Ovis aries: one gene and its partners. The protein of the gene in region 4 purifies or fractionates together with the protein of the main gene of each other region. This does not show direct contact. Links are inferred from orthologs where the notes say so. Each region holds a gene or a part of one and is shown on either strand. Other genes may lie near its edges.

Region 1 (4,066 bases), on a different chromosome or scaffold from region 4:
AGCCCTCTCCTTTCTCCATGACCCCCTTTGTGCTACTCTAAAGGAAGAACCCTGTGATAAGAGAAGGACCATGGGTCTGGGCCAAGAAACAGTTCTGTTGTTCTTGAGTGTGGGAAGGAGTGGGCTGAGTAGACCATGGGCATGCCTCCATACCATCTCAGCAAAGATGCAACCGAGGCTCCATATGTCCACTGCTGTGGAGTAGTATTTGCAGCCCAGAAGGATTTCCGGTGCTCGGTACCACAGAGTCACCACCTGAGGAAAAGAGTACAGGACATGAAGATATCCACACGTCAGTTTCTAAACACTATTCTGCTAACTCAATTTCTTCACAAGCAACTTCTATCCCTCCATCCTTCCCTTTACTCTCATTGCCCCTAAGTAAAATAACTGGGTACAACTTCTTAGCCCAGAGTTAGCCTAATCCATGGTTCTGGGGAACATATATTCTGAACCCTCAATTTGCAACCTTCTTGGAAAACTTGAGGCAAATGGTCATAATTTTAAATTTCATGCCTTCCACCTGTCTCCTGGCTCGGTATCTATCAATATATGAATTCTGTGCATACTCTAAGACCTCTTGTGGTGTCAGAAATACTTTCCATCTAGTGAGAAACTGCTGGCCAGATCGTTACTAAAAACTCTATGAATGTCCTTGTTAACACCTCCCAGGAAGTTCAGAGAAGACATGCAGAGGAGGACTCACCTCGTGGGTATAAGTACGAACAGGGACCCCAAAAGCTCTGGCTAGTCCGAAGTCTGCTAGCTTGATGGACCCATCTGCGTTGATAAGCAGATTCTGAGGTTTAAGGTCTCGGTGCAGGACCCGATGAGAGTGGCAGAAAGCTAGGCCCTGGAGCAGCTGGAACAAGTAGCTCTGACAAGGGGAAAGAAAAGACTCTGTTTTTCCACCACCGTGAGCAGATTAGGGTCTCCTCTGTAACTCCAAAGTTCTACTAAAGCCTTTACTAGTTAAATTGTAATTATGTTTTCAAGCTATTTCTCCAGTTGGACTGTCAACCCATTGAGGATAAGATCAGGTCTCATTCAGTTTTGCATTTATGTTCCATAGCGTGGACCAGCACATTGAAAGTGTTCAATAAATGTGTGTTGGATGTTTGTTGGTTGATCGAAAGTAGCTTCCGGAGTAAGGAACCCAGAAAAATGGACAACAGAGACTCACTGGCTATTTCTCCCACCAAACAGGTGGAAGGGCTTTCTGGAGGCATCTACCAAGTACCCCCCAGTCCCATTTATCCGAGTTTCATCTCAAGAACCTTCCACCTGAGCTGCTAAGTTGACTTACTAGAGTTTCAACTTCTTTGATTCCCCTGCCCAGCCCTAGGGTTAAAAGCATAATGAGCAGTGAAAGAGCCACAAGAAAAGGTGTGTGCGTGTGTGTGTGTAGGGGGGTGAGGGCTGGGAAGGAAACCAAGATAAATCAACACTCAGTCCGGATTGCCTGCTTTCAGTCCGGACTCCCAAAACATGCCCATGTTGGGGAGGAGTTGATGAGAAGGAGTACCTTTATGAGCGGAAGAGGAATGCCAGTGAGTGCAGAGGCATCCATGAATTTCTTGAGATCCTGGTGCAGAAACTCAAAAACAAGGTAGAGTTTGTTTTCTGTGTGAATGACATCCAGCAGCCTAGGGAAGGGGGAGGTCCAGGAATACACGTGAGGGAGAGAAAGGCCCAGACAATACAAACAGAAGACATTCTCCTTTACTGTCAGAGCACCTCCCACCTCCCAGATACATACTTACTTGACAATATTAGGGTGATTAAGCTCCTTAAGCAGAGAGATCTCTCGTATGGCAGTACTGGGTACACCCTCTGTCTCACTTGGAGAAGTTGAGAAAGCAGAGATGGGAATGTGGTTACAAATATTTCTTTTCCCTCAGCAGTACAGTCATTCCCCCCACCCCACCCACAGCCCCCACCAACCCAGCATCCCCTAATTAAGTGAGAGAAAGGGTGCTTCAGTGGTTAAATCATGGATGGACAGGAGTGTCTTTTTAGACCCATTAAGATCATCATATCTTCTTTGCCCAGGGCTGGGTTAGCAAAGCCTCTTGGTGAAGTTAAAAGGGGGAAAAGTGTGTGTGTGTGGAAGTAACAACACCCAGCCTCTCTAGAGGTGCCAGTAAGGTTCAACTGCCATTCTTTTGAAAGAGAGAATTCTAAGATGCGGGTGGGGTTGGGGCACTGAGGGCTGGTCTAGTCATTTATAAGGGTGCTCTTTACCACTTATCACAAAACCCATCTCCTCGTCGGGGAGTCCTGGATCCCATCTCAAAAGGCTCCTTCCTCTTCCTGACACTTTCTGACTGTACATTTGGGGACATCGCCCGCCTCTGGGGAGGAAATTTCCCATGGATTCTACACTATCCTATAGTCTCCACCGGGAAACCCTCTACTCGTCCTTCAACCCACCTCTCCACTTCAAAAGACTTCCCTCCCTGCTACCTTCCGGTCCCTGGAAGGCTACCCGCCTGTTGCGGTGGGGGTGGGGGGCACTCAAGGAGCTCCCGAGTCAGGACTCCCGGGTACAGAGGCCACTCACGTGTCCAGGCGGATTTTTTTAAGCGCCACCACTTCTCCCGTCAACTTGTTTTTGGCTTTGTACACAACTCCGTACGTGCCCTCTCCGATCTTTTCCACTTTTTGGAAGTTCTCCATGAAGCGCTAGCGAGTCGGGTCAGCCCGGCCCTGGAGCTGGGGCCTGGGAACCTGCAAAAAACGGCACCCAGCTCTCGGGGGCCGAGGAGGGAAACAGGGCCCAGCACCGCGACCCGAGGTCGGGATGGAACGTAGTGTATCTCTCGCTCTTGTCAATTTGTCCAACTTGAAACAATATTGCCGCCTCCCCCCTCTAGTTCCCTACCGCCACCAGAAGCCCCGCCTCTCCTTCCCGCGTTTCCCTGGCTCCTCCCTCAGATCTTCCTATTGGTCTACGTCAGAGAGGGCGGGGCCAGCCCTGTGTCCCTCGCTGCAAACGACCCCACCCCGAGTAACTTTGGTTCCGAGGAGTATTAAGGATAAATTTTTATCTGGATGGGGAGGCTGAACACCTTTTTCCAAGTATCTGATTTGGGATCGAGTTTTCTCTCTGTGTCCTGAGTCTATAGGGATTTCCTGATCTCTAATCACCGTTTTCACCACCCTAAGGAAAATATGTATTAAATTCCACCTCGCCCTGGAGCCTCCTCTGAAAGCAGGAAACTGGAAATCTCATTGTAAGGGTTTCCTAGGGCTCCGAAGAGTCGTTGTCCCACTTCTCTCAGCCTACCCCAATACTGTCTGTTTTTGGACCCAGGGTCGCTGCTTCTACAGTTATTTTGAGAGGTTCCTGGTTTGACTCACAATAGATTGATCCACTCTCCAATGATGAACCCTGTGCGTCCGGTACGTGTTATGTTTTGTAGCTGCCCTTCAGTCATTTTTTCCCCGCGAGGGGAGATGGAGTACTTTAAGATGAGACTGACCCTGTGAAGCCAGAAACTGTCAATGAGTAGCATGATGTCCAGGGACCAGGATCCCTCCTCTGTTCTGTCTCTCAGATCCTTCTGCTCCTCCCAGGATTTGCCTGGAGGGAGGGGAGGAAGGGCTATGCAAATAAGCACCCCCTTCTTATACAGGGGTTTGTCCAATGCCCCAGAGTCTTTGGTTGCTGGAAGGAAGAACAGGATGGATCTGGTGCTGAGAAAATACCTTCTCCATGTGGCTCTGATGGGTGTTCTTCTGGCTGTAGGGGCCACAGAAGGTGAGTGTGGGATGTGTGGACATGAACAAGTGTGAGTTTAGGGTTACACACCTGCTCTGGTTTTTCTCTCCCTAAAGTGGAAGATAGCAGCAGTGCTTCAGGTGTTTCTCATCCATTTGATTTAGTGAGGACATGGGCAACTGAGCTCCCTCCCCACATGAAGATTTGGGTGCATATGTGTTCAGGCACTTGGGACTGAACCTGAAAACAACCCCATCTACCTGGACGGGTGAGAGAACAGTATGTCTCTGTGGCCCTAATTTTGAGATGCTCTGAATAGTGAGCTGGAACATGGGTGCCAAG
Region 2 (3,500 bases), about 24 Mb from region 4:
GACTGCTGGTGCAGTTTGCTTTTAAAAAGAAACTTCAGGAAGAGGAGGGTGAACAGCTACCCGTTCTCCTTGTTAAACGGCAGCAAATGGGCCCTCTACACCGAGGAGCAAAGCACAGACAAGGGATTTAGTACTAACTCTGTGTGTGTGCATGTTCAGCTGTGTCCGACTCTTTGCGAATCCACTGGATGTAGCCCACCAGGCTTCTCTGTTCATACGTTTATCCCAGCAAGAATACTTGAGCAGGTTGCCATGCTCCAGGGGGTCTTCTCACCCCAAGGGTCGAACCGACATCTTCTGCTTTCCTTCATTGGCAAGTGGATTCTTTACCACTGAGCTACCTGGGAAGCCCCACTAACTACTATCATGCTATTAATGTAGCAAGGGCCTGATTAATTGACACCAAGTATTCATTAATTGTAGCAAGTATTCATTAATTGACACCAGTTTTCTAGGACCGAGCCCTGCATTAAGTGGTATAAACCAGCAATTAAGGATGGTATTTCCATAGCATGGTTTCTGTTGACATGCCACATTTTTCTGGAACTCAGGTCAACAAATGCCTGTCTTCCCTAACCTTTTCTAGTACCCCTAAAGAAAAATGTTTATGCACAGTGTGTCTCAAAACCATGGAATAAAGGACAACTTTGCTACTAAATTTAGAATTGTTTATTGTTCCAACAAATCTTTTCCCAATAAACTGTTTTCACAGTTTCTACAACAGTAATTTTAGTAATTCTTTAGTCCTAGACCTAACAAAAAGAGGAGCTGCTAATTTAGTTGTATGCATCCATAAAGATCCCACTTACTTCTGTCCCTGTTTAGTTCTGTCGGAGAATTCTGATGGCTTCTGCTGTCACTGCTGCCAGAATTTCTTCTTCTCCTTTTCCCTTTTATCAAAACACTTCTATACACCTTTAAGCAGAGCATGATAAGGCGACAGAGCAGTATCTACTGAGCACATCCTAGACTACACAGCTTTCACATCATTTAATTCTCACAGTTCCCTACAGTAATAGCTGTCCTGCTCAGGGGAGGTGTGTAAATGCAGCCAAGGTTATGTATCAGGGCCTGTCAGGCTTCAACTTCCAAGTGCTGCCTACAATACTACAGAGCAGCAATAATACCTAATTATAAAATCAAGTCATTCTAAGTCAGATACAAAGATCGTACCGACCTATTTCTTCGAGACACCTATATAGCATTAAAGGTAAAATGGGTTTTAAAATTTCACTTAATGCTATTTTGGTTAAATGTGTAGCACTGTGTGTCCTAAACCAGACTGAATTCAAGGTGACATAGAATCCAAACAGCAGCTTCCTAATTTACATCTATCTTGTAATTATCTGAATTAAAAAGGAATCAAATATTTTACATCATTAACTTTGGGGGAAAAGAGAACTTAAACTAATCAAGATGTGTGGCTGTCAATAATTAAATAAGATTAAAATAGAGTCCTATTTTTTATCCTGGAGAAGAGGCTACAGAATCACTTGGAGCCTCTTATAGTTAATTTTTTTATATGAATCAAAAAGACTTTCATCTTTATTTTCAGCCCTGAGGGAAAATGTAGTTACCTGGCTCCGGGCCTGTGGCTGAGTCCTATAGCAACGCATAATATTCTGGAAGGACTTGTCTTCTTTTGTGACCTGGCAAAGAATAAGGGTACACTGAGAATGAATTTGACTTCTAGCCTAATATAGTATGAGATGATTCCTGAACCTGCTCCCCAGTGACACTGGTGAAAATCGCATTAAAAAACAACCATTTAAAGTCTCTGGAAATGTCTCTAAAAAGCATACAACAAATGAAGAACTATATATTCAAGTAAATCTACTAATTCAGTAACAACAGAAGGAATATGTGGTATCTGAATCAAGACCTAGAATAAACCATAGTGACAGAAAATTCATTAGACGAATGAAAAACTAGATTTGAACTGGCAAAGGAAAAGTTTAATAAACCTGAGATGGAATCGTTCACAGAGCAGAGGATAGAATGAAGAAAAATTAAAAGTGCTTCAGAGAAATGGGGCATACCATTAAGCACATCAAGGTCACATAATGGGAGTACCAGAAGGAGTGAAGCAGGAAGAAATGTTCAAAGGCTGAAACCTTCTAAATTTATTTAAAAAACATTAGTCTTAGTTCAGTTGCTCAGTCGTGTCTGACTTTTTGTGACCCCATGGACTGCAGCTTGCCAGGCCTCCCTGTCCATCACCAACTTCTGGAGTTTATTCAAACTCATGTCCATTGAGTCAGGGATGCCATCCAACCATCTCATCTTCTGTCATCCCCTTCTCCCACCTTCAATCTTTTCCAGCATCAGGGTCTTTTCAAATGAGTCAGTTCTTCACATCAGGTGGCCAAAGTTTTGGGAGTACCAGCTTCAGCATCAGTCCTTCCATTGAATATTCAGGACTGATCTCCTTTAGGATGGACTGGTTGGATCTTGTAGTCCAAGGGACTCTCAAGAGTCTCCTCCAACACCACAGTTCAAACGCATCAATTCTTTGGCGCTCGCTTTCTTTATAGTCCAACTCTCCATACATGACTACTGGAAAAACCATAGCCTTGACCAGACAGACCTTTGTTGGCAAAGTAATGTCTTGGCTTTTTAATACGCTGTCTAGGTCAGTCATAACTTTACTTCCAAGGAGTAAGCACCTTTTAATTTCATGGCTGCAGTCACTATCTGCAGTGATTTTGGAGCCCCAAAAAACAAAGTCTGCCACTGTTTCCACTGTTTCCCCATCCATTTGCCATGAAGTGCTGGGACCAGTTGCCATGATCTTAGTTTTCTGAATGTTGAGCTTTAAGCCAACTTTTTCACTCTCCTCTTTCACTTTCATCAAGAGGCTCTTTAGTTCTTCTTTACTTTCTGCCAGAAGGGTGGTGTCATCTGCATATCAGGTTATTGATATTTCTCCCAGCAATCTTGATTCAGCTTGTGCGTCATCCAGCCCAGCGTTTCTCATGATGTACTCTGCATATAAGTTAAATAAGCAGGGTGACCATAAACAGCCTTGATGTACTCCTTTCCCTATTTGGAACCAGTCTGCTGTTCCATGTCCAGTTCTGTTTCTTCCTGACCTGCATACTGATTTCTCAGGAGGCAGGTCAGGTGGTCTGGTATTCCTATCTCTTTCAGAATTTTCCAGTTTGTGGTGATCCACACAGTCAAAGGCTTTGGCATAGTCAATAAAGCAGAAATAGATGTTTTTCTGGAACTCTCTTGCTTTTTTGATGATCCAACAGATGTTGGCAATTTGATCTCTGGTTCCTCAGCCTTTACTAAAACCAGCTTGAACATCTGGAAGTTCATGGTTCACATACTGCTGAAGTCTGGCTTGGAGACTTTTGACCATTACTTTGCTAGTGTGTAAGATGAGTGCAGTTGTGCGGTAGTCTGAGCATTCTTTGGCCTTGCCTTTCTTTGGGATTGGAATGAAAAGTGACCTTTTCCAGTCCTACGGCCACTGCTGAGTTTCCCAAATTTGC
Region 3 (4,072 bases), on a different chromosome or scaffold from region 4:
TTGCATACCCCTTCTCAATCTTTGCCTTCACACAGGCCTAATTTATGGAGCAAAAAATCAGAGTACAAGCAACTTTGAATTCTGAATGTTTTTATTTTCTAATAAGTAATTTTCTAAGTCACTCCAACATCTTCCTATTTACGTGGTATAATGTTTACAAAAATGAAGATCACGCTATCCACGCCCAGGGATGTCTGGGACTCACTGGAGCACCCTCCCAACTCAGGTGGACCTGTCAGGGACATTCCTCAGGCATGCATTTTTACGCAGGAAAAGTCTATGAGTCTCCAAGCACAGGTCAGGTATCAAAAGAAGGAAGAGGACTTCCTTCTGCAGCCACCCTCCTTTCCCCTTCTCAGCATCTCCCTAGTCACTCCCACACTCCCCAGAGCGCCTTGGAAATCCTCCTGTCTCATAACATAGGCCCTTAGGTTGCAAATGCCTATCTCCTTGACAACCGGGACAGAGGTCACCTTCACCTCCGTATCTGCCTTTGGAGGATGGCACCAAAATGCCTTAAGAAATGTTTGCTCTGGAAATGGCCAGATACAGGAATGAATGACTGATAAACATGCAAAGCTGCTGCCTCTTAGTTGATCAGAAATGCTAACATAAGTCAACTTTTAGAATGAGGTAAGGAAGGGACAGATGCTGTCTAAACCCACCAACACCTGTCATGAGAGCTGGAATTCAACCTTGTCTCGTCATTCCCAACCCAATTCATGGAGTACTCCACCATTTCAAAATAGGAGATTCTACAAGATACTAATAACAGAAAGAAGTGGCTTTAACATCAACTGACCCCGGCCTCTGTTCTAACAGAAACTATCTTTGGTTCTCTGACACCCAGCTTCTAACAGAAGCTCAGCAAATGTTCCTTCAAGGACAAAGTGATTTCTGTGTGAACACCCTCTGGAGCTTGAATACTCTATTTAATGCGGACAGTACTGCGGCTGGGACAATTCCGTGAGGTTTAATATACTTATACCGCCATCACAGTAATGATTGTCTGCTTCACAGGCATTCTCATTATCCCCATTTAATAGATGTGAAAACTGAGCTCCCAGGTGGCACTAGCAGTAAAGAACCCGCCTGCCAATGCAGGAAACATAAAAGACACAGGTTCAATCCTTGGGTCAGGCAGATCCTCTGGAGGGCACGGCAACCCTCTCCAGTATTCCTGCCTGGAAAATCTCATGGACAAAGGGATCTGGCAGGCTACAGCCCATAAGGTTGCAAAGAGTCAGACATAACTGAAGCGACTTAGCACGCACACACGAAGCTCGCAGGGGTTAACCTGCACCTGTAGGTCCTCATCTGATAATCCCAGCAGGAAAAGCAGAGGCTAAGTCAGTAGTGCAACCACGTGGAGGTCTCACACACCCTTTCTATGCCCTTCCATGTGCTGGGCTCTGCTCCAGTTGGGGTGAGTCAGAAGCTGAGCAGGAAGTAGGACACTGTGCAGAAGAGAGTTACAGCAAGTGGCCAAGAATCAAACTGAATGCTGTGGGGTTCCAGGATGCAGAACCCATCCCTCACCTGGGAGCTGGGATTCTTCCACTGAGCCCCAGGGCATAGATGGTAGAAGACCTGGGGGTTTTCAGGGGCTTTGGGTTTGTTGCCTGGAGTGAACACTTCCTGAACCAGAAATTCAGGGCCTGACCAGCGCCTGCCCAGAAAATAACTCCTGGGAATTGGAGCTGCTCTGAGAAACCATGGCCTGAGGAAGACACACCCTGTGCCTGATGACTTCCCAGGGATCAGATGTTTCCTTGCTGAGAAGCCTGTGAAGGCAAACATCACCTGAAGCGAGATATTTCAGGCTATTTGGTATGGATACAGGAATCCTGGGAGGGAACAGGTCAGAACCCCCTGTGGTTCTGTAGTGTGACTCCCAGACTGGTTGAAAAGCCTAGAACTCAGACACTCAAGGAACAGGTGTAAGACAGGAACATGGAACCCACAGACCTGATTTCTGGCTTGTCTCTGCCATTCAAACTCTGGGGGATAAGTAAAATGGAGACTGCAGTTCTTGCCTCCGCCCCAGGGGTTGCTGGCACAGATCAGTCTCTCTTCCCCTTGCATTCAACCCCAGCTGCCCCAACCCCCGCGCGTAGGACAGGAAGAAGGTCTCCGGAGCGAGACCGACCTAAGGCCCCGAGCCCAGGTGGTGAGGGACCAAAAAGTCCCTCCCGGCCCCAGCAACCCTCCTAGGTCAGGGGAGAGAGCCGGGAGTGCTCCGTGCTTCCCCGAATGTTAAGAAATGCCCACCGGCAAAACCAGACCCCCCAAAAGGCTCCAAAGACAAGCGTCTTCCAGGCTTTCGCCTCCCACTCACCGCGACTTCGAAAATAATTTTTCTTCTCCAGGGGTCGCCTCCCTCCCCGGTAAAGGCCCTTCCAGCTGACACCACCGTCCCACCCCCACCCCGCAATTAGGCGGGAGACAAAATGACATCATACAAGGCTTGGCCCGGGTCCCAGGAGACCCGCTCGCCCCAGCTCCGAGGCCCAGCAGGCCCGGGGGTGCCGAGCGAGGAGCCCCCGAGAGCTCCCCGGCTTCGCGCGCACCCTCGACGCCTCCCCGCGTCAGGCGACGCGGGACACCTGAGTTTTCCGCCGACCCCAACCGCGCCGGGCCGGGATCGGAAAAGCCCCGGCGAGGGTGGCGGTGCGGGGAGGGGGTCGGGGCTGAGGAGGATGGCGCCTGGGGAGGGGGGAAGGGCCCTCCGCCGGCCGGCTCCGCTCACCCGCGCGTCCGCCGCGACATCCCCCCGGCCCGGGCCGCGCCGCGCTCGCCCGCCCGCCGGCCGAGCCCGGAGCGGGAGCCGGGCCGGGGTCAGGGTGCGAGCTGCTCCGGCCGCTCCGGGCCCCGGGGCCGCGTGGCGAGGCGTCAGCGTGACCACAGGTCCGGCCGCTGCTCACGGGGACTGCGGCCGCCGCCGGCGCTCACAGAAACACTTTTCTATCTCCCGCCAAGCGCGCCGGCGCCGCCCGGGCCAGGCGCGCGGGCGGGCTGGTGCGCGGGGCGGGGCCAGCGAGCGACGCGGGGCGGGGCCAGCGGGAGGGCCGTGCTCGGGGCGGGGCCAGCGAGCCGCGCGGGGCGGGGCCTGAAGGCCCGAGGGCACAGCACCGAAGCTCCCAGGGCAGGGAGCTCGTGGGCGCGGCTTTGACCCCGCAACCTGGTGACTGAGGCAAGGCCCGGCCGAGAGCCTTGGGGCAGGCCTGGAGGAGGGAAGACTGAGAAAAGGGAATGAGCCGCAAGGGTGGGAGAGTGAGGCCGAGGGAAACTACCTGTGCTAAGAGCCCAGCGCTAGTCCAAGCAGCTCCTATGTCCCTACACCCTCACCCCCACCCCAAAGCGGCCTCCTCACCTACACCTAGGCCAGGGCTGAGACTTGGAAACCACTCCCTTCTTCCTTTCCAGCCTTGAACTCAAGTGGCTCCAGCTCCTCAGCTGGACTCCTGGCAGCCCAAAGCAAGCCTCCTAAAAAGCAAACCTGATGTTGCCTCTCCAGAACTTAAAGTCTCTGTCCTCTCCCTCAGGGTAAAATATTCTGCAATCAGGTTTATAGCAGTCTGCCAGACCACCACCCCGCCCCTAGCGGGAGGAAACTCTTCAGCCTCCTGGCCGTTGCTGGGGCGGATACACTTCCCACTTCTCCCACCGGAACTAGTTCCTATTGCTCCTTTAAGAGCCCACAGCCCACAGTCTACTTGCTGACTTATGCATGTCCTGATTTGAACTATGGGCTTGCTAAAGTTCAAAGTGAGTGAAGTCACTCAGTCGTGTCCGACTCTTTGCGACCCCATGGACTGTAGCCTACCAGGCTCCTCTGTCCCTGGGATTCTCCAAGCAGGAATACTGGAGTGGGTTGCCATTTCCTTCTCCAGGAGATCTTCCTAACCCAGGGATCGAACCTGGGTCTCCCGTATTGCAGGCAGACGCTTTACCATCTGAGACACCAGGGAAGTCAAGTTCAAGGGGCCCCTCAATTCACAGCAGTATCCCCAAGGCCCAGAATTCATTGGTTGCATTAAATTCGTTTCAGTTCAGTTCAGTCGCTCAGTCG
Region 4 (2,662 bases):
TCCCACCCCGGACCATCCTGGCCTGGTCCCCAAGACTCTGGATCCTTCCCTTCATTCCAACCAGATACACCACTTCTCACCCTCTCCCTCCAACCCATCTTCTAACCTGAAACCTCAGCCAGCCACTCCCAGATCCTTGAACGCCTTTTCTGACCCTACCTTTGTACCCCTATTCTAAGCCAACCAGAACCCTCAACCTCGAACTGTACAGATACCTACCCCTCCTCCCCAGAGTCTGCACAGATATCTCACGCTATCCAGAACTCCTCAGTCACTTTGTCTTGACCCCCCAAATCTCCAACCACAACACCCTCCCCTTATTCTCCAAGACCCAACCAAGCAGCCACTTTCTTTAATTCCCTACAATCTTTCTCCCTCCTCAAATTCCCTGATGCCCCATCCCCTACCTAGGTCCACTCCCCCAATAAATGTGCTAGAGCTGTGCCAACTGTTTTATGTCTGATCCAGGAAGGATAGGCTGTAGTAAATGGAGACCAGTGTGGAGGAGAGGAATGTTTATTGGGATGAGGGTGGGGACAGGGGAACATCACTGTCGCTCGTACATCTCCCGTAGGATCTTCATGCTCTCTGAGTAACGAAGCTGGTTCCGATGAGATGCCTCCTTCCACCTGCAGTGGGGGTGGGGGAAAAGCAGAGGGAGGACTCAGCAGTTGGAGCAGAGGCCACAGAGAACAAGCTGGTGGGGGGATGCTCACCTCTGGCGGATACGCTTCCAGCGCTGCATGTTACGGTAGATAAGCGTGGAGGGTGAGGGCTCAGGCTCGGAGGGCTGCATGACAGAGAGGCCAGGCTGGGTGACCACACTCATACCCCACAACACCTGCCCCATGGCCCTGAGCCAGCCCAGCATACTCACCTCATCATCAGGGGTACCCTGGGTCTCAGGCTGCAGCGGGGATGGAATTCGGGATCTGCAGGCGTCTCCAGGTGGCCCAGGAGCTGTGGGTGGAGGCAGCTTATACACATCACGACTCTTGCTGTTGGTGACTTCAGAACCCTGGGGATACAAGGACCCACACCAGACCCAACAGAGTCAGAGAAGAGGGTCAGGGACATCATTTCACACCTTCCCCAGCAACAAAAGACATGAAGGTTTCTCCAGGGACTTGTACTTAGGAGTCATGTGTCTGCTCCAAGGACCCCTGTCCAACCCAGGGACCCCTGATCACTCCTGCCCAGCATAGAGACCTCCATCTATGGAGACCTCCATTCCTAGCCCAGGGGGTTGCCATCTGCTCCCCTAGACCAGGTGGCTATACCTGGTTGCCCTAAGGACCCCTGCCTAGTCTCTCAGCTCTTGGTGACTTCTGATCTTGGAGGGCACATCTATTTACCCAGGAACCCTGTCTCCTCTGCCTCTCAGACCAGAGAGCCATGTCTGTCTGCTCTAGGGCACTCCAACCTTTGCCCTGGCCTAAGGGTTCCTATCTATGTGCTTCACCAGATTCAGGAGTCACTGGTGTTCTTGTCTGCCAGGGAGGGTGCTTTGTGACTGCCTACCCATTGCACTCCTGGGCTGCTGGGCAGGAACCCACCACCCATCTCACCTCCTCATCCTCAGGCAGGGGAGGCAGTGGCGAGCTGGGTGAGCGTTCACGCTCACGCACTGTGGGGCTGTTGCGCATCCAGGCTCGGCAGATGGGGTACAGTGGCGTGTTCTCACTGAACTGAGCCAAGTCCACACTCCGGTCAAACAGCTTGATCACATAGGTGTCTAGAGTGGGGCGAGTAGGAAGGGTATGAACATCCTTGCCTAGCCCCCCCAATCACTGCCTGCCCTCGAGGGCCACCGCCTACTCACTGGATCGCTGTGGCCCTCCCTCAGCCAGCCCCTCATCCATCTCCCTCCTCTTCTTCCTCCGCTGGTGGGGGAATCGGGCAGATGGCCTGTGTGGGGAGGGAGTACATCAGGACCGGGGTGGGGACTACAGACCTCTCATCAGCTGGTGGGGCCCCTGCCACCTTACCGTTTGCCAGTGGCCGTGATGGAGCAATCCCTGTGGGGAGAGACAGGGTGTCATGTTAGCAGGCTTGCCCTTAAACGAATGCCTGCTCACAACCCCTCAAAAAGCACCCTGGGGGTACTGTGAATGAGCTCAGAGATCCCACCAAACCCTGCAGCCTTGGGTCCCACCCCTTGCAAGCTGACGTGCCATCATCAGGGGACCTGAGTTTCTGCTGCTCCATGGCTTTTGTACGTGAAGAATGGTTAAGACTGTGATGGAGAAAGCACAGGGCAGGGGGCTCAGGGCTCAGATGAGGAAAGAAGTTATCTACCACAAACCCTCAGACACAGATCCCATCAATAAAACTTACTTGTTGTGGGTGTCTGAGGAGGTCTTCCCAGGTTCCTCATCCAGACGCTCCCTGGTAGCAGAAGAGAACTGCATGCTCAGGGTTCCCAGGGCCCAGGGTGGGAAAGTACCCAGTGGCCTCATCCACTGGGCCTCTTCCTTCCTAAGTCAGTCTCTGGGGTCCCACCCACAACCAGAGGGTCCCACCCGCTAGGGCCCCCAACTTCCCATGACCCTGTCCTGGGTCAGATCCCAACCTGTCCATGTGACTCTTCTCTAGCAGACACTGCAGAACAGCATCCAGTTGGTTCCGGGCCTTGGCCATCTCCAACTCTGGGGAAGAGGAG
Region 5 (3,500 bases), on a different chromosome or scaffold from region 4:
AATGATGACTGGGGGTTGAGGGGAGAAATGAGTTACTGTTAATGGGTACAGAATTACAGTTTAGGAAGATGAAAAAGCTCCGGAGATGGACAGTAGTGGAAACTGCACAACAACGTGAATGTACTAATGATACTTAGCTGTACACTTAAAAATGGTTAAAATAGTAAATTTTATGTATATTTTACCACATACAAAAAAAAGGCCAAAGCTGTCCTCTGTTACTCAATCTTTATTGCACTGATTAAAGGAGATCTTTTTAGATGCTATAAAAATACATACCTTTCTATAAAACAGTGCTAAGGACCCAGTTCTCTTTGGTTTGCTTATTCCAACTGGATGTACCTCTTGTGCTTTGGTCAAATGGGTCTGCTTTGGAGAAGCACCAATTAATGACTGAGCTGTAAGTGATACAGGACTCTCAACTTTGGACTCCTGAGTTGTATTCATGGAAATTGGTATCAGTGTGATCTCTCCAGCATCATTTGCAATACCTGAATGTACAAGCAAGAGTTCTTAGTTTTAGAAATGTGTCCCAGAAAAGTTATCAATACTTCTTTCTTCGCTCATTCCTCCCTCCCTCCCTCTTCTTGTTTACTATCTATCTGTGCATAGTAATGGTAGAAGAAGAAAGCCACAAAAATAGTAATTCTAGGTTATAATATTTTTGTTTTCTATTTCTGCTCTGAAACAATAATACTGTTCTCTTTGGTGGTCTAAGGGAGATGTTTTTAACCATTAAACAAAATTCTTGCTCAACGCACTCATTTGTAAAACTCAGGTAAGAAACTAACTCCTAACAGAGTAGTAAATCCATAAAATATGAAAATTCAAAAAACTGTGCAGGTATACCTCAGAGATATTAAGAGTTTGGTTCCAGAGAACCACAATAAAGTGAATATCATAATAAAATGATTCACATGAATTTTTTGGTTTCCAAGGCATATAAAAATTATGCTTTTGCTATACTGCAGTCTATGGGGTGTGTTATGGGCATTATGTTCAAAAAAGTGTATGTACCTCAGTTAAAAAATACTTTGTTGCTAAGAAGATACTAATCATCACCCAGCAACACAAGGTTGCCACAAATCCAATTTGTAGAAAAAAAAGTTATCTGTAAAGTTCAATAAAGCAAAGTGCAATAAAATGAGGAAAGCCTCTATACATTCAAAACAAAACTAAAGGGGGAGTGCTGAGGAGCTTTAGGGCAGTGTTACTATTCTGTATAACAGTATAATGGTAGATATGTGTCATTAGACATTTGCAAAATTCATAGAATGTACAACACCGAGAGTGAACACTAATGTAAACTATGGACTTAAAGTGATAATGATGTGACAATGAAGGTTCATCAGTTGTAATACATGAGCTAGTCTGGTGCAGGATACTGATGGCAAGAAAGACTCAATTTTGCCATGAACCTAAAACTACTCCTAGAGGAAAAAGAGTACAGGTCCGGGAGAAAATACAGGAGTAATAAGACCATGTGATATAATTCAATAAGACATTTCTTAAATTTTTATTCATTTCAAAAAAAAATAAATGCATCAAAATATTACCATGCAATGGGACTGTAACTTTATGTCCTGTTGTCCCTGTTACTATGGCTGTGGCCATTGTTAGAAGACTGTGCCCGGGTGAAATTGATATATTTTCAGCAGTGATGCTTGAAGAAGGAGCAATTTTCAATTTTGTTCCTTCTGTTATGATCCTGTCCATAAGCATTTCCTTTGGGGGGTCTTCCCCAAAAAGTCTTCTCTTAGCACTCCCAGCAGTAGGAGAACTGTAGCGTTCATGGACAGAAATCGGAGACAATGGTTGCATATCTAATAAAGAGAAAAATTTTAACAGTCTGACTTGTATTTCAAACAGACACAATCAGGTTTACTCACTCGTTCAACAGATGCTGAGTTGTGTTACACTGTGTGCTCAATCGCTTCAGTCGTGTCTGACTCTTTGCAACCCTATGGGCTGTAGTCTGCCAGGCTCCGCTATCCATGGGATTTTCCTGGCAAGATTTCTGGAGTGGACTGCCATGCCCTCCTCCAAGGATCTTCCCGACCCAGGGACTGAACCTGCATTTTCTGTGTCTCCTGCACTGCAGGTGGATTCTTTAACAGAGCCAACAGGAAAGCCCTAGATACTGAGTTACTATGCTAAAATAACAGCCTTTGTCCTCATGCAATATCGAATCTAGTGGGAGAGAGAAGAATGAAATAAATCTTAAAATAAAATTACAATAGCTAACCTTCCTGGTTTCTTGAACCTCTGCCTACGTTAAAGAACCAAAATATTATGGGGAAAGTAGAAGCTGAGAGGTAGAATGCAGTGACTGTTAAATTAGAAAAGTAGTCCAACTAACTTCTGTCTCCTCCCGATAAAAAGGAAAAATCAGTGATTTGGTTCACAATTTTCTCTCTTCCCACACATCTACACGTCAAACAGTTTAAGGCAATAGCTTTGGCTTTCTGATTTAGCAGACACAGAACCATCTTTTACAAACCCACTAGAAGATGAATAGAAGTGTTATGACGCTTAATTTGAGGCATTAGCGTGTAACAGACATGTCATCTATTTTCAAAACATGTTTATAAGGTATAAAAATTACCTCTGGCAATAATTTGACAACTCTGTATTTCTGAGGTAACTGGGGAAATAGTTATGGTTTAATAAAAATCTCTTCTTAATTCTGGGGGTTATGAAAGCAGCTCTGACTTGCAGCCTTAGCAAACAAGTGGGAAGTTCTATTGTAGCCCATTACTCCTTAACAGAAGTCTACCTTTATGTCTTATTTCTAAGAAAACCAATGTAGTCCTTGAAGCTAACTAGGAATGTTCAGAGCTGACATTTCAAGGGGGAAAATGCATGTTATAACCACCAAGTTAGCTGCAAACCCCTTGAAATGATTCTTTGCCTAGCACAGTACTGGAAAAGCTTCAGTAGACATTCAATAAAAATTTAGTAACTATACAAATTAATAAACTGTCTTTTCCCCACTAGAGTCAAGGCTCAATATTATTGTTTTCTAAGGATTTTCTATTATTTGATTCTCTTGCATGAACCCCTACAAGAAAATAATTTTCTTCTAATTATAAAAATAATATATTACCTGAATGCTCACATCAGTGATATTCATAAAAGCCAACAGGTAGAAATAACACAAACGCCCATCAGCTAAATTCCTACTTTCTCTTTTGTACTAGGAGTTGAACTTAATCTCACTTCACTGCAAAATCCTACTGCCATATAATAGGGAAGAACCTTTATTATAGGTTAGTCACTAAAGAGATGTTGCCTATAAGCTTAAATTATCCATAATGGCCCATCTCTGGGAACCCTGCCTCTCAGGTAATGCATATTAAGCTCAAAAACCTTTGCTCAGGGCTTCCTAGGTGGCTCAGTATTGAAAGAATCCGCCTGCCAATGAAGGAGACATAAGAGAGGCTGGTTTGATTCCTGGGTCAGGAATATCCCCTGTAGGAGGAAATGGCAACCACTCCAGT
Region 6 (4,202 bases), about 11 Mb from region 4:
CACAGACAGGAACTAGATGGCCCCAACCTGGGTGGAGAGGAAGGTGTGCTGATATGGATGCAGACAACATCACAGTGTGAAAACTGTGTTGACAGGCCCTTAGAGGCAGGTATGCCTCTGCAGAGGAGCAAGAGACCATAGGCTATTGTGAGGAGGGTGTGTGGCGGGAGATGGCAGAGAGGGGTGGAAGAGCTATGAAAGCTTGTTTGTCTTGGAGATAAAAGGAGCCATGAAAGGGACTGGTGCTGCTGCTTAGCTGCTTCAGTCGTGTCTCTGTGCCACTCTATGGACTGGAGCCCATCAGGCTCCTCTCTCCATGGGGTTTTCTAGGCAAGAATACTGGAGTGAGTTGCCATGCCCTCCTCCAGTGGAACTGACTACTAGGTAGTAATAATGCTGTGGACACTGGCTACCACCCAAATCCACCCTTCAGGACAAAGACACTCATTCCCCTAGCTGCCCGAAATGTAGGCTAATGAGGTCTCAGATCTGAGTCTCTTGGTCAGTGTTAGGGTATAAGGGCCAGGTAGGCCTTGGAAGGGGTACCCCAGTTTCAGTGCTCCTAGAAGGACAGAGCCCTCCATTTTAACTTCCTCACAGTTTAATTCTCCTCTCTGCCCTGTTTGGCCTGTCTTATTTCCTTACAAGTGTGGCTTCTCAGTAAACTTCCTGCTGGCACATCTCTTTCTCAAAGACTGTTTTCCAAAGAACTTGACCTAAAATAAACTATAATAAATGATAGTGTTAAAAATAACAAAATGATACTAGCAAACACATAATCCTTCCACATGCCAGAAACTGCTCTAAGGGCTTTACATATATTTACACATGGGTAAATATGTTTGCATCGGTTGAAAAGTGGTTTTAATCCCATGGCCTCTGAGCACTGTAGTGTGGAGACAAGAGAAAGGCGAGGCTGGGATCAGGGGAAGAAAGTGGGGATGCAGACAGGTGAATAAGCTAGATGTAGTTAGTGCTTGCTGTTTGGCAGGAACTGAAGGACAGGAATAAGGAGGGTAGGTGATCCCAAGAGAGTGGGGCAGTCTTTTAGGAGCAGGTTTGGGAAAACACATTGGGTTCATCAGGCAGCAGGGTCTCCTCTCCTGAGATGAGGGTTGGGGCACAGTTAGTCGAGTTGGGTCAGGTTTGCCAGCCAGGAAGGTTCCAGTGATTCCTCCTTACTGCTCCTGAGGCTACCCAACGACTTCCTCCACATGCTTCCTCGACCACATCTGTCTTCCGGGATCCTGGGGTTATTTTCGTCCTCTTCGGCGGTTGGACATTTGATGATGGTCCCTCAAGTTTTTCGGCCATGTCTGCTGAGAGGAATTGTGACGGACTCCCTGGAAGGGAACGAAGCGGAAGCGGAAGTAGCGAGGCTGGCGCCGGCGGCCGAGCAGCCAGGAACGGAAGCGGAAGTGGCGGCGGCGCCGGCCTGGCCTGGCCTGGCTGAGGGGAGGCGGCGGGCGGGCGCGATGGCGGAGGCCGGGCCACAGGCGCCGCCGCCCCCAGGCACCCCAAGCCGGCACGAGAAGAGCTTGGGACTTCTCACTACCAAGTTCGTGTCGCTTCTGCAGGAAGCCAAGGACGGTGTGCTTGACCTCAAGCTGGTGCGGCCCGGGCTAAGGGACGACAGGGGGATGGTGGACCAGGCCTGAGCCGGTAGAGGGAACCCCCGGGGCGGCCCAGCTGAGCCCTCAGAGCAGGCCGCCATACATGTGCTTCTCACAAGCGGGAGGCCGGGAGCTGTTTCATTCATTCGGCTAAGGCTGTTCATCGGATGTCAGCTTTGTGGCAAGCTTGAGGCTGCGGGTGGTAGTCCTCGTGGCCCTTTCCAGCAGGTGTGGGGAAAAGAGCATCGGAACATCAGCTCAGGCTTCGTCTGGCCTCTTCCCGCCCCACAGTCCTGAGCTGCTGTAGTGCCTGGGGAGGAGGGCTAGAATTCAGGCCACCCCCTTTCCAGACTACTCCAGACCGAGTCCCCCGTGAGAGTGGGACTGAGCATTTTCCATTCTCTTCTCCTTGCCAGGCAGCTGACACCCTAGCTGTGCGCCAGAAGCGGCGGATATATGACATTACTAACGTGCTGGAAGGTATCGGGTTGATTGAGAAAAAATCCAAGAATAGCATCCAGTGGAAGTGAGTGGGGGCACCGGGGTCGGCAATGGTATCTCCTACCCAGAAGTGTCAGGAGTGTGGGGTGGAGGGTGGCAGAGAGAACAGGGGCTGTAGGACCCAGAGTGCCAGGCAGTCCCTCTTAGCTCTCCTTCCTGGATTCAGGGGTGTGGGTCCTGGCTGCAATACCCGGGAGATTGCGGACAAGCTGATTGAGCTCAAGGCAGAGATCGAGGAGCTGCAGCAGCGGGAGCAAGAACTAGACCAGCACAAGGTGTGGGTGCAGCAGAGCATCCGGAACGTCACAGAGGACGTGCAGAACAGCTGATATCCTCTTATCGGCGGTCCTGGCTCCCGGGGAGTGGGCGATGGGCCCTCTAGTCCAGCTGGGTGTGCTCTGTGTCCCCTAGTCTCTGTCCCACTTGGGAGGATGGTCCTCCAGCTCCTGGCCAGGTTTCAGCCTCCGGTTCCCTCCTCGGAGCCTCTCCACCCACAGTCTTGGCCTGTGATCCCTCCCCCATGTAGACCCCAGGCCTCAGGGCTTCTCTTTGTGAGCATGTATGTCAGACCTCTGCTGCAAAGCTGGGTCTTCGCTGTGTCAGTTATCTGTCACCATAGGCAGGGCATCAGCCATTCTCCTTAACCCCCACACCTTGGCCTACGTGACTCATGAGGACATCTGCAGATGCTTTGCTGGTGAGCAGAGCCTGGGTAGGGGGAAATGGGGGTGGGACTGGGCTGAGCCACAGCCCTGAGCAGTGGACTCGGTGCTTGAGAGATTTCCGTCTCTTAAGAGGGTTCCTGGGGCCTGCTCAAAGAAGAACCAGACAGGGTAAGGCCTAGATTTGAGGATCTCTGGGACCCTATGGAGGCTCACCATGCTGAGAGGGTACAGGAAGCCTGGACTGGGTCTCTGGGTCAGCCACCACCTGCATCGCCCCCTAGGTTTGGCTTCTCAGGTGTGACAGAAGCATACGAGGGGAGAAAGTGTGTGTGCCTGTTTGTATATGCTTGTGTGCAGGGGGCAGTGGTACCCACTTCCAACCTGTAGTTTAGTTGCACTGTAGGTACAGGAACTCTTCCTCGTCCATCTTGCATCTCCCAGGCTGGTTCTGGGGAAGAGCTGTTGGCCTTGGCCAGAACATCTTTGCCTAGGGAGCAGCCCCATCAATTGAATGAGGTGCCCATGGCCACTAATCTCTTGCTCCACATATCTGAACCCAGATTTTCTGGTTACTGACCTTTGGGTTCTTAGGAGAGAAAAAGCTTTAGTTTTCTCCCCCAGCCTCAATAGGGAGTGAGTGAAGCCTACTGTCCGCCCCCTCCGGGACTATGACGTCCTTCCTTGTTCTGAGGGATAGGCACCCCATTCCCAGTTCAAATTGAGCCCATGGGCCTTGATCCATCGTCTTTGTCATCCTAGGAGACACTCTCCTTGCCATCCGGGCCCCGTCGGGCACCAGCCTGGAGGTGCCCATCCCAGAGGTGGGTGCTCAGCCCAGCCGGGTGGGGTGGATTGAGGGCGGGTGCTGGCTGTGGAGCCCGATAAGTCCCGGGTGGGGCAGGTAAGGGGAGGCCTAGGGTTTGAAGTTATCTAGGGGAACGGGCAGCCCAGGGTGGGAGAGGATACTGGCCCTGGCCCAGGGTCAGGCAGGAGCCAAATCTGCTTCCAATTCCACCTGTCCTCCACCCCCACATTCAGGGCCTCAATGGGCAGAAGAAGTACCAGATTCACCTGAAGAGTGTAAGTGGCCCCATTGAGGTGCTTCTGGTGAACAAGGAGGCATGGAGCTCACCACCTGTGGCGGTTCCTGTGCCCCCACCCGAAGACCTGCTCCAGAGCCCGCCTGCTGTCTCTACCCCTCCGCTTCTGCCCAAGCCTGCCCTGGCCCAGCCCCAGGATGCCTCACGCCCGAGCAGTCCCCAGGCAACCACCCCCAACCCTGTCCCCAGCAGCACCGAGGCCCAGGGGGTGGCTGGTCCAGCAGCTGAGATTACAGGTGAGACACAAGGGGTATGTGGTAATGAGGGACTTCGGGGACCCAAGAAGCAATGTTTCTGTGTGACGAGATGAAATACTGAGAGTT
Region 7 (4,061 bases), on a different chromosome or scaffold from region 4:
AAGTTTACTCACGATGTTCTATGGGTTCACAACAAATGTAAACAAAGCAGAATTGTTCACATTCTGTTTATCACATTTCATTTTTTTCTGAGAAAAACAGTTGCCAAGTCCAGTGCTGAGCGTCTTCATGGGTGGAAGCTGAACTAACTCCCGGGGGGCACACAAAGCAGCTGCTCAGGGAGGCTCGCCAGCCCCGCGCCTCCACAGGCAGGGGGTCCTCTCACAGAGCCCTGGCTGATTCACAAGTCAGCCAGCCTCCAAGAGACCCAGGAGCGTGGCGGCGGCCAGCCTCCAACCAGCCTCCAAGAGACCCAGGGGCCGGCGGCGGCCAGCCTCCAACCAGCCTCCAAGAGACCCAGGGGCCGGCGGCGGCCAGCCTCCAACCAGCCTCCAAGAGACCCAGGGGCCGGCGGCGGCCAGCCTCCAACCAGCCTCCAAGAGACCCAGGAGCCGGCGGCGGCCAGCCTCGAGACGCAGCCTCCAAGAGACCCAGGAGCGTGGCGTCGGCCAGCCTCCAACCAGCCTCCAAGAGACCCAGGAGCCGGCGGCGGCCAGCCTCGAGACGCAGCCTCCAAGAGACCCAGGAGCGTGGCGTCGGCCAGCCTCCAACCAGCCTCCAAGAGACCCAGGGGCCGGCGGCGGCCAGCCTCGAGACACAGCCTCCACCGCTCAGGCCTGCGTGGCCCAGGCAGAGGCCAGCATGGCTCAGGCCGCGCGCAGCGCCACCGGCTGTCCCCGCCTCCTCACCTTTACTGTGTCTCTTTGCTGGAAAGGTCTGAACACCGACAGGCCCGCAGTTTATGTGTGGTCATTCTGAAACAAGGTGGGGAGTGACCGAGAACGCAGTGCTGGGCAAACATCGGTCCAGCACAAAGCAGACACACGTACTCACATCTTTTGCCATGTTACCAGTTCCGTGAAATCGATGCTAGTAACGGTCACCCTCCAGAAAAGAAAAATGGTTTTCCTGGTAAAAAGAAGGAGAGGGGAGTCATGAGCCAGGCTGAAACGAGAAGCTGACACCGCCACCGTCCCCTCAGCATCACCACCCATCTAAGCGGCAGGAGTCCCTTCCTCTCCAAGCCCTCGCTCCGTCCCGGGGCGGGGGGTGCGGGGGGCGGCCCAGAAACGCCCCCCGCCCGGGCACTCTAAAGTCATCTCAGGCAGGGAAGCGTCCACAACCCGGCTGCCCGCCGGCCTCCCCGAGGCGCACAAAGACCCGGCGTGGACCAGCCTGGCACCGCGGCCCGATGCCCCCCCCCCACCCCACCCGGAGCGGCCCCGCGCGCACGCGCTCCCCGCGGACGCCCCCGGGGCCCACCCGCGACCACCGGCCGACCGGTAACTCTGACAGGTGGGCGTCCGGGGCCGCGGCCTCCGGCCTGGCGCTAGGCCGCGGCCGCCTCCCGCGAGCGCCCCCCGCGCGCCGCGGCCGGCAGCCGGCGGGCAGGTGGGGCCCGCGCCCCGTCCTCGGCCCCCGGCCCCGCGCGCCCGCCCCGCCCCGACCCCCGCCCGGCGCGCGCGCCGCTCCGCCCGGAGGCTGCGCGCAGGCCCCGCCCGCGCCCCGGCCCGCGCCCCCCGCGGGGGTCACCGGGGCGCCCCGGCGGCGGGCCCGGCGCGCGGGGGGCCCGGGGCGCACGCGGCGCGGGGCGGGGGCGGCGCGGCCGGGCGCCCGGCGCGCGCCCCTGGGGACCCCGGCCCGCCGCACCTGGCGGGCGGGCGGCGCGGGCGGCGGGCGCGCAGCCGCGGGCGGCGGGCGGGGGGCGGCGGGCCCGGCGGCGCTCGGCCGGGGTCCCTGCCCTGCCGAGGCGCCGGGCGCGGGGCTCACCCTGCGAGCGTCGGGCGGCGTGACGTGCGCGGCGCGGTGACGTGGGCGGCGGCCCGGCTCCCGCAGCGCGCCTGCGCGCCTTTTCGCGCCTTCGGCGCCCTCCTCCTCCTCCTCCTCCTCCTCCTCCTCCCCCCCCCCGCCCCCCACTCTCCTCCCGCCGGGCGGCCCGCGCTTGGAGGAGATGAGCTGCTCCGGCGCGTGCCCGCGTGTGCGCGCGTGCCCGCGTGTGCGCGCGCGCCGGCTGCGGATGGAGAGGAGGGCCTGGCCCGGGACTCCGCGGTGCGCGTGCGGGGGAGCTGAGTCAGGGATGTGTGCACACGTGCGCACACGGGGCACAGGGATGGGGGTGCGCGTGCGTGTGTGTGCACCCTGGGGATAGGAACTGGGACGTGTGCACCTGTGCGCACACGGGGACCGAGGCCTGGTGTGTGTGGACGTGCATGCTCCTGGGCGTCACGGGCTGGGGGTGTGTGCGCACTCCGTCGGCACTTGGGAACCAGTGGAAGGTGTGGAGATGAGTGTGTACACACACGGGGCCAGGGATGGGGGTGCGCGTGCGTGTGTGCACAGCCAGTAGTAGCGGATGGATGCGAGAGTGTGCACAGAGGCCAGAAGTGTGTGTGTGCGCGCGCGCGTGCAGATGTGCGCACTCGGGGGAGCGGGCTCGAGTAGCGCACAGTGAGTGTGCTCTTGGAGGAGCAAGGCAGGCTGGAGTTGTGCCCGCAGGCGTGTTTGAGCGGGTGCATGTGTGTGCACAGGAAGAGGAGGTCGGGTGTGTGCTCGTGCAGATGCTCGGAGGTGACAGCGTGTGCACGCGCAGTGCCCTGTCCGCCGAGTGCTCACCTGTTCCTGCCCAGCCCGAGGTCTCCACGCCCACGCCCGGCCTCTGCCCAGGCTCTGAGTCTTCTGGACGGAAGGGTGCCGGCCTGCTCCTTATCACCAGGTGGCCTGGGCTGAGTGGAGTCTGACCCTGGAGACTTGCCCCCGGCGGTTCACCATCAGCCCAGCCAGGGCAGGCGGGGCGTGGGGGCCGAGTCCAGAGTTCATGGGGCACAGAGGACTTGAGCTATCGCCTTACACGCTGCCTGGGACGGTTCCACAGTTTAACCACTTTCAACCTGCTTCTCTGGCAAGCCACTCCAGTCTTGAACTCTTACCCTTAATTAGCGTTGGTTTCTTGAAAAGCAGGAATCTTCCCATTCTTCCTGCTGATCGGTATGCTTTCTACACTTAGAGCAACAGGGGTGATGAAGACCCGGCGGGAGGAGTGGGGAGTAAAAGGCTTCGGAGGGACCGTCCTCTGTCCCTGCAGGCTGGACACCTCTGCCTCCCTGTGGAGAAACATGCATAGCTCCCCACTGGGAGGGCTGTGGTGCCTGCACCTCCCACCCCGTTCTGTTTCTCAGAAAGTCTGTGTTCCTCACCCCACTGCTCTTTCCAAGAAATTCCGTCTTTCTCACTGTGTTGGAGTCTTCACCCCCATGTGGCAGCCAGAAGCCGCTCCCTGGGGCTCAGGTGCACAGACGGACAAGCCTCTGGGTGAGGGCTGGGTGCTTGGAGAGAGGAGAAACACAGGATCAGAGTCCGAACCCGAGTCCTCTCCCCACAGATTCGAGAGTCCAGTCATTGACCAGTATTTACAGGGGATAACTAGCTCTCATATTCAAAATCATTTCTGCACAGAAATCACTCGTGAAACACTCTGAGCTCGCTAGCGCTGCCGCAGCATTGAAACAAACCTCTGGCTTTCTCGGAACCTCTGCCTTTATAGTCAGTTACCCTACAGAACGCCTGTACCTCTGTTGAAAGGTGACAACGTAATTTTGGTTGAAGATCCAAATGTTTTTGGCCACATCTCGCCTTGAAACCCCTAGGCTGGCAGAGACGTGACCTAGGCGGGTGATGACCCCACGCGTGTGTCCGTCAGTCCTGCCTGCTCTGGGGAGTGTGCCAGAAGTTGCGGTCTTAGAGAGCCTTCCACCAGTGTCCACTTGCTCCTCCTCCCTGGGGCTGCACCGTCACTGTGTCTTCCGGGACAGCACGGGGAGATGGTGCTGCTCCGTGTTCCGTTAGAAGGCTGACCCGGGCTTCCCAGGAGAACGCCCGCCTGTCACTGCGCCCCCTTTCTTTGTGGGCCTGATACAAAGCCTTACCCCCACCCCCGTTAAACTCTCCTTTGAAGAGAGAGAAAGTTTTCTAATCCCTTGAAAATCTGAATTCGAAGTCTTAAATA

What was found.
Region 1: the proteins of LIN37 (region 4) and CDK2 purify together in Homo sapiens (affinity purification with mass spectrometry; 3 studies listed by BioGRID and IntAct, with this or other methods). This does not show direct contact. The link is inferred for Ovis aries from reciprocal best matches to the Homo sapiens genes LIN37 and CDK2.
Region 2: the proteins of LIN37 (region 4) and RBL2 purify together in Homo sapiens (affinity purification with western blotting; 5 studies listed by BioGRID and IntAct, with this or other methods). This does not show direct contact. The link is inferred for Ovis aries from reciprocal best matches to the Homo sapiens genes LIN37 and RBL2.
Region 3: the proteins of LIN37 (region 4) and MYBL2 purify together in Homo sapiens (affinity purification with mass spectrometry; 6 studies listed by BioGRID and IntAct, counting the BioPlex papers as one, with this or other methods). This does not show direct contact. The link is inferred for Ovis aries from reciprocal best matches to the Homo sapiens genes LIN37 and MYBL2.
Region 5: the proteins of LIN37 (region 4) and RBL1 purify together in Homo sapiens (affinity purification with mass spectrometry; 3 studies listed by BioGRID and IntAct, with this or other methods). This does not show direct contact. The link is inferred for Ovis aries from reciprocal best matches to the Homo sapiens genes LIN37 and RBL1.
Region 6: the proteins of LIN37 (region 4) and E2F4 purify together in Homo sapiens (co-immunoprecipitation; 4 studies listed by BioGRID and IntAct, with this or other methods). This does not show direct contact. The link is inferred for Ovis aries from reciprocal best matches to the Homo sapiens genes LIN37 and E2F4.
Region 7: the proteins of LIN37 (region 4) and TFDP1 purify together in Homo sapiens (co-immunoprecipitation; 3 studies listed by BioGRID and IntAct, with this or other methods). This does not show direct contact. The link is inferred for Ovis aries from reciprocal best matches to the Homo sapiens genes LIN37 and TFDP1.

The regions. Positions count from the first base shown.
Region 1 is NC_056056.1:163,556,693-163,560,758, forward strand, and holds the start of CDK2 (cyclin-dependent kinase 2), read right to left. Parts: upstream 2,801-4,066; 5' UTR 2,680-2,800; coding exon 2,564-2,679; intron 1,842-2,563; coding exon 1,764-1,841; intron 1,647-1,763; coding exon 1,526-1,646; intron 878-1,525; coding exon 707-877; intron 256-706; coding exon 154-255; intron 1-153. Other genes in the region: melanocyte protein PMEL, read left to right, coding at 3,688-3,763. UniProt on the Homo sapiens protein: Serine/threonine-protein kinase involved in the control of the cell cycle; essential for meiosis, but dispensable for mitosis. Phosphorylates CABLES1, CTNNB1, CDK2AP2, ERCC6, NBN, USP37, p53/TP53, NPM1, CDK7, RB1, BRCA2, MYC, NPAT, EZH2.
Region 2 is NC_056067.1:21,330,667-21,334,166, reverse strand, and holds part of RBL2 (retinoblastoma-like protein 2), read right to left. Parts: intron 1,650-3,500; coding exon 1,578-1,649; intron 916-1,577; coding exon 810-915; intron 1-809. UniProt on the Homo sapiens protein: Key regulator of entry into cell division. Directly involved in heterochromatin formation by maintaining overall chromatin structure and, in particular, that of constitutive heterochromatin by stabilizing histone methylation.
Region 3 is NC_056066.1:72,197,176-72,201,247, reverse strand, and holds the start of MYBL2 (myb-related protein B), read right to left. Parts: upstream 2,801-4,072; 5' UTR 2,770-2,800; coding exon of another isoform or gene 2,750-2,769; 5' UTR 2,461-2,749; coding exon 2,339-2,460; intron 1-2,338. UniProt on the Homo sapiens protein: Transcription factor involved in the regulation of cell survival, proliferation, and differentiation. Transactivates the expression of the CLU gene.
Region 4 is NC_056067.1:45,772,032-45,774,693, reverse strand, and holds the end of LIN37 (protein lin-37 homolog), read right to left. Parts: intron 2,649-2,662; coding exon 2,573-2,648; intron 2,389-2,572; coding exon 2,338-2,388; intron 2,019-2,337; coding exon 1,989-2,018; intron 1,909-1,988; coding exon 1,823-1,908; intron 1,736-1,822; coding exon 1,569-1,735; intron 1,019-1,568; coding exon 713-1,018; 3' UTR 630-712; coding exon of another isoform or gene 548-629; 3' UTR 501-547; downstream 1-500.
Region 5 is NC_056066.1:66,021,735-66,025,234, forward strand, and holds part of RBL1 (retinoblastoma-like protein 1), read right to left. Parts: intron 1,824-3,500; coding exon 1,557-1,823; intron 492-1,556; coding exon 280-491; intron 1-279. UniProt on the Homo sapiens protein: Key regulator of entry into cell division. Directly involved in heterochromatin formation by maintaining overall chromatin structure and, in particular, that of constitutive heterochromatin by stabilizing histone methylation.
Region 6 is NC_056067.1:34,395,840-34,400,041, forward strand, and holds the start of E2F4 (transcription factor E2F4), read left to right. Parts: upstream 1-1,402; 5' UTR 1,403-1,475; coding exon 1,476-1,610; intron 1,611-2,029; coding exon 2,030-2,139; intron 2,140-2,280; coding exon 2,281-2,442; intron 2,443-2,767; coding exon 2,768-2,811; intron 2,812-3,538; coding exon 3,539-3,600; intron 3,601-3,817; coding exon 3,818-4,115; intron 4,116-4,202. UniProt on the Homo sapiens protein: Transcription activator that binds DNA cooperatively with DP proteins through the E2 recognition site, 5'-TTTC[CG]CGC-3' found in the promoter region of a number of genes whose products are involved in cell cycle regulation or in DNA replication.
Region 7 is NC_056063.1:86,051,571-86,055,631, reverse strand, and holds the start of TFDP1 (transcription factor Dp-1), read right to left. Parts: upstream 2,801-4,061; 5' UTR 2,672-2,800; intron 1,855-2,671; exon of another isoform or gene 1,709-1,854; intron 1,434-1,708; exon of another isoform or gene 1,322-1,433; intron 968-1,321; 5' UTR 905-967; coding exon 893-904; intron 1-892. UniProt on the Homo sapiens protein: Can stimulate E2F-dependent transcription.